Linked DNA regions of Danio rerio. The protein of the gene in region 1 binds, or shares a complex with, the protein of each later gene. Links are inferred from orthologs where the notes say so. Each region holds a gene or a part of one and is shown on either strand. Other genes may lie near its edges.

Region 1 (3,589 bases):
GTTCCATAGTCTGTCATTAAATGACTTGGAACAGAACTGTCTCACATGATCCAATAAAAGTAACAGACGAACACATAACCGCATTCACCATTTCATATGCATACTCTGAAGAGCAGGTACGTTATTTTATATGCAAAAAGACCCTTAGTGGCTTCTCCTATTGTAGTAACTCTCATTTCTTCTTCATGATATTTGTCCTCTTCAGCTTATTGGATGGAAACAATGGTTTATTTGTTTTATGTGATATGCCAATTTTGCACACAAATTAAATGTGCCACTTTGTATGAAAATATAGCTACTGTCATGCAGCAGGATTGATTTACAAGCCTTGTTTTCATTACAGCTGGCAGAGGATCTTAACGCACTTTGGGCCTTTATTACATTCTATGGAGGTGACTGTCAGCTCCATTTCAACAAAAAGTGTACGCATCTGGTTGTGCCTGAACCAAAGGGGGTAAGCATGTTTTTTTTTGTGCCTATAATATTAAATGCATAGTACGCATATGGCACTGTGTATCAACACAGTGTTTAACTTCATCCTCTTTCTGAAGAAAAAAGGGGAAGGTGTGAGATTTTGCAGATCGCTTAAAGTTTACAAGTAATAGAGTGCGTTTAACAGCTGCTATTTGCAAGACTCTGTCTAGGTTTACGTCTGTGGGTTGTTTGCTATTGGATCAGTTGTGGAGTGGGACTGGCAGGCTGGTTTTGTTTTATTGGCTCTGAATGGTGCATTTTAAAAAGAATCAGTTTTATAGCCACCGTTCTTACCGTCTAGCTTTTTAAAGCTTGCCATTTATTGGCAACTATTGGTACCCAAACAAATGTCATTGGTTATATTTGGTGAGAATGCTAACCTTTTTAAATTGAACTCTGAGTTAAAAACATTCTGTATAATTTAACAATTTACTGTGCTGATTCATGCTCTGTTTTGACTTTGATGCTCTGTCTTTGACTTTGAGGCCATGGATAATTCAGAATGCATGTAAAGCTATGTAAAAATTGTAGTTGTAGTTCATTGTGTTGTTGTATATTAACTTATTTGCATGTAAATAATTGGTCTAGCTTGTTGGCTGGCTGGCTGACCATATTTTTAATTTATCTATTTGTCTAAACTTATCAGCAAATCAAACCTAAGTTTGTGTTCTCTCTGGCTCTCTGGTTTGTGTTCTCTGGGAACTCTTGTCCGCTCACAGTCTGCTCTCCTGCTTATTTATGTGGGAGTGACCTGCAGCTGGTTTGGGCTCTGCTGATTGAGGAAATTAAGCTCCGCTCACTTTTAAGGGTGTCACGATCCTCCAAATCCTCGATTCGATTACATTTTCGATTCTAAAGTGACGGTTCGATTCGATTTTCAGTTATGAATAATTAATAACAAATTAATTATTTGTAGCCTACAGTTTAAACTACCTGACCTGCATGGTCTTTGTTTTACCCATAAACAAATCATACAGTAAATGAATAAAGGCAAGTTACACACATAATTACCACCTGTCAATCTCTTTTTTTCTACGGGACTCATGAATAGGCATTGATATGTGTCGTTATAATGGCTGCGGTAAAAAAGGTGCACATGCAACAGGAACCAGCCAACAGTATCTGAGGTGTGCGCTAAAATGACTAAGTACAAGTGAGTGAAAGATTGAAGCAGTCTACTGACCCGCTAACTGCCTGTACCCGCTGTCTTGAGCGCATGGCTGTGTGTGCGTCTGTGTCTGTGTTTGGTCACGTGATGTGCGTTTTCAACGGTAGTGAGGAAAGAGGGCTGCTCAGAAATGCTACACGCCACTGTGGATGTCAAATCGTTGTCGTTCTAAAATGCCATTTAAAAACAAAGACATATTAGTGTAAACACTGCCAGAGTGTGTACTTTTCATGAGCGGATTTGCAACGGGGGCGGGGCAGAGGATCGCGATGCCGGTGTTGTCTATTGGACGAACCCTAATACGTGCGTTGCAGAGCTTGCAAAACTTTTTTTTTTTTTTTTTTGTCGACAACACGAACGTTATCAACATAACTCACTGGAAACCAAAATGCTTCCACACCGGCGACTTCATTGAAAGAGGAGAGGGTTTAAGCTCTGTCGACAGGTCTCCTGCGTCTGCCGTTTAACAAGCTCTTTAACAAGCGTGTTTTTTTCCCGCTTGGCAAGCCAAGCTGACTTGACATGGGGGCGTGGCAGCATCGACGATTCTATTTTATGATTCGATAATCGAAATTGAGCATAAATTTCGATCGATTTCGATTTAAAATCGAGATCGTGACACCCTTACTCACTTTATTGGTTAATAAGCTTACCTCACAAAAATGATGGTCATGCATTTGCTTTTGGAGACAGGTCTGTTTAAATATTATTATATATTCAACACAATTACACAATTTCTAATCAATTAAGGCTTTGGTGGGACAAAAAAAGCTGTTTTCCGGCCACTAGGTTGCTGTTGAAAGTGGTGTTCGTAAGGCTAGCAGGGGGTGCTTGACCTGTGGTCTGTGAGTCCTAATGCCCCAGTAAAAGTAAAGGGGACACTATACTGTCAGTGAGCGCCGTCTTTCGGTTGAGACATAAAACCGAGGTCCTGAGTCTCTGTGGTCATTAAAAATCCCATAGCACTTCTCGTAAAGAGTAGGGTTGTAACCTCGGTGTCCTCCATCGGCCCTCACTGATCATAGCCTCCCAATCCTCCCCATCATGCTCGTGCAGAGACTGTCCAAAGGGCATGTGCAGGATAAAATTTTTGAAGAGCAGGTGGGGGTTGTTGTTGTCGTCGTCGTCGTTGTCGTCGTCGTCGTCGCCGCCACCGCCGGGTGCATACTGAAGAGTGGTTTTGTCACGCGCGTACTGTTAAGCGCGGGGTGGTAGGGAACACGCGTACTCAGGAGCGGTGTTGTCGCGCGCGGGAATCAGTGCCCAGAAAATAAACTTTTTTTTAAATTCAACAAGAAATAGGAAAAAAATCACTTTTTTTTTAAGTCAAGACACGATGATATTGTGTATAGAAGATGCCGCATTGGACGCACAAGACTCACGCATGAACATTTACTCAAAGGAGAAGAACCCCCATAATGCCTTTATTGCAACAAAAAACAAACTGTTAAACATATTCTTGTGGAATGCCCCATTTTTAATGTTCTTAGACAACAATTTTTAACTGGAGAGACTCTAAGTGAAATTTTTAAAAATGTTAATCCTTCTAAAATTGTAGAATTTTTATCAAAAGGAAACCGTAAAAAACTGTTTTAGATTTTTATCATATATATTATCATTTTTATTATTATTTATGTATTTTACCTTGTGTATTATTTATTTCTGTTAATGACTTAATTTTTTTTAGGACTTTTTTTAAGAATATAGAAAAGTGGTATTCATAAAATGTGGTAACCTTGATCTGTTTTTTTTTTGCCATGACATAGCCATAGAAGCTGAAATGGCAATAAAATTAAAACTCTCTCTCTCTCTCTCTCTCTCTCTCTCTCTGAAGGGCGGTGGGGGGGCACTTTTGATCATTTTAGAAGGGCACTTTCTATCCAAGACTAAAAAGGACATGTGCACTGCACAGGTTGAGCCCTATGTGTGCATGTGCCTGCTCCCCAT
Region 2 (2,706 bases), on another chromosome or scaffold:
CTAATATAAAAGGTATAATAAGTTTCATCGCTTTATTTTTTTCAGAGATGGCTTTTTAAACCGAACAGGCGCTGCCCCAGTAACACACAACCGCGTTTATTTAAAGTGAGCTGCAATAAAGGTCTTTTGCACGTCAAATACATAAAGTAGATTTTATTAGTGGTAGCTTTTTATTGTAATACTAAGCAGGAGGCTTTGTTGTTTTCTGGTAATGTAAGGTCAAATATAGGAGTAGTTCATACTCAAACCTCCTACTCAACGTGGTCACCATTCATTTTCATTTGATGGATATAAAGATGCTGTGGTAACTGAAGCTGGTTATCTGCATTAAACTCTTCATGTTGCACGAAACAGGATTGAAACCCCCAATCAAATATCATTTTGATGAACTGTCCCTTTAAAGAATCTCTCGCAGTATCTTCCCTTTTTAAGATGTCTAATAGACGTCTAAACAGTCCTCATGGCTAAATAAAGGGCTGTCAGTGAAACTCCAGTAGACGTCTAAAATAGGCCAAAACTAGACTAGTCATCAAATAAACAGAAATTAATGACTACATATATAAAGTCTGTCTATCTGACGACTAGTGTAGTTTTGACTAATCCAAGCTGTTTATGTTTAGATGTCTATTAGACGCCTATTAAACTAAAAAATAGTCTGCTGGGGTTCCCCACCCATACGACTCAATGCAATTCTCAGACTTTTGTTTTTCATTCCAAATAACCTGAACTTATAATAAAGGCAAGGGTGTTCTAACCAAAATAATAGCTACAGGAAAGCATTTTAGCAATTATACAGTGAATTGCAGGTCACGAGTCAATGGCTCAGCGCTTTATAGTCATTTTGGAGCATAAAGCCTGAAAAATGTATGAGCAAAATGTTGTGATGACAGCGAACAATCTGAAGTGAAGGTGCTGCTGCTGGGCCTTCTGAGGTATTCGGAGCTTTATATTGTTGTTCATTTGATGTTTAATTTATTCTGAATAAATTATTTTTGAAAAACCATTCCTCCTTTCTTATTTCCCATTATTAATCAGCTAAAAGTGAATTTATCTAAAATGCACACTGAATCACTTTAGTGTCACATCACGACAAAGTGATTTAATTCATTGTGCATTTTAAAGAAATCGCATACAAATCACATTTTAAAGACATTTACATTGAGTGAATTAAATCTATAAAATATTACGTCACAATAAGTGTACATGAGAGGGTTAAACAAATGAAAAAATTGGTTTTGCGTCAAACTGTGTTAAAATTCAGAGGGAATATGTTCAATTGGTTTGAACTTACCGCCGAAATGTGATTGAGGTAAAGAAAGACCAATACTAGCGCAGACGAACCAAGCGAATCAATCAGCTCTCGCATATTCAGATACACTCTGATTGGTTCGTTACTTTGCGCTGTTTATGCACTGCAAGTTCAAGCCAATGGGGGATTACATCCGCTCTGGTTTCACCACCGACAACCAATCAGGTCTGTACTTCCCTTCGCGCAACCAATCAAATGTGTGGGCGGGACTATGCTTTGAACGTTCAACCAGTCTTTAAATACTGCAGCAGTTTCACTGCCAATGTACTGATTTCTTGCACACGCGAAGAGTTAAGTAAGCCATTCAACATGTCTGGAAGAGGTAAAACCGGAGGAAAAGCCCGCGCTAAGGCTAAGACTCGCAGCTCCCGCGCCGGTCTTCAGTTCCCCGTCGGCCGTGTTCACCGTCTCCTTCGTAAAGGCAACTATGCTGAGCGAGTGGGCGCCGGTGCCCCCGTGTATCTGGCCGCCGTGCTCGAGTACCTGACTGCTGAGATCCTCGAGTTGGCGGGAAACGCCGCAAGAGACAACAAGAAGACTCGTATCATCCCTCGCCATCTCCAGTTGGCCGTCCGTAACGACGAGGAGCTGAACAAACTGCTCGGCGGAGTGACCATCGCACAGGGCGGTGTTCTGCCCAACATCCAGGCCGTGCTCCTGCCCAAGAAGACTGGCCAGGCTGCAGCCAGCTCCGGCAAATCTGGAAAGAAGGGATCTTCCCAGTCACAAGAGTATTAAATGTTGAACTGAGCTAATTCATCCAAAGGCCCTTTTAAGGGCCACCCAACTCTTCTGAAAAGAGCAATTTCCATGTGTCTGAATGTGATATAGCTTGTATTTTTGAGATGCATGCTTTGCTTATTAAATTGTCATTTTTTAATAATGTTAATGTTGGTGTTTTTTGAACCGATTTAGGCTAACTGTTATCACAATTTAAGAATTTACGTTACTTCAGTGTTTATTTCTTAACGGTACATTTTTTTTTTCTCATAATTAATTTATACGAGTTAATTTGGAAAACGGAAACTAGGTTTTCATAAACACAAGGTAAGGCAAAGTAATTCTCTGGTCTTTTTCATAATGTAAAAAGTCTTTATGTATGAGTGAACGATAGTGTGAGTCTTGTTTTCCAGTGTCAGCAAAAAACCAAAGAACTCATCAGGGGGTTGTTGATATACTTTATTATTTATAACACATTTTTTAATTCATTCTCATGTTGATTTGACAACACAATGTTGCTGGCCAAGTAATTGCTATAGTATAGCTGGTCAATTTCACATTTGGAAGGCACTTTACAACTTGCTACATAAATATAAAATATTAACACGAACTTAGACAGCTAATTTTGCCAGTAAAAATCTTACATGGTGCTAAAACACCCATAAAATCTTAGCACC

The links. The genes of interacting proteins can lie anywhere in the genome.
Region 2: the proteins of paxip1 (region 1) and h2ax are in contact, whole or in part, in a crystal structure (PDB 3SQD), measured with the Homo sapiens proteins. The link is inferred for Danio rerio from reciprocal best matches to the Homo sapiens genes PAXIP1 and H2AX. Residues at the interface, in NP_031375.3 of Homo sapiens: Phe871, Thr872, Gly873, Phe874, Pro876, Lys907, Thr909, Arg910, Thr911, Val912, Lys913, Pro986, Glu1050, Leu1053; in NP_002096.1 of Homo sapiens: Gln138, Ser140, Gln141, Glu142, Tyr143.

What each region holds. Positions count from the first base shown.
Region 1 is NC_133177.1:32,875,788-32,879,376, reverse strand, and holds part of paxip1 (PAX-interacting protein 1), read left to right. Parts: intron 1-343; coding exon 344-454; intron 455-3,589.
Region 2 is NC_133180.1:31,151,535-31,154,240, reverse strand, and holds h2ax (histone H2AX), read left to right. Parts: upstream 1-1,575; 5' UTR 1,576-1,618; coding exon 1,619-2,047; 3' UTR 2,048-2,192; downstream 2,193-2,706. UniProt on the Homo sapiens protein: Variant histone H2A which replaces conventional H2A in a subset of nucleosomes. Nucleosomes wrap and compact DNA into chromatin, limiting DNA accessibility to the cellular machineries which require DNA as a template.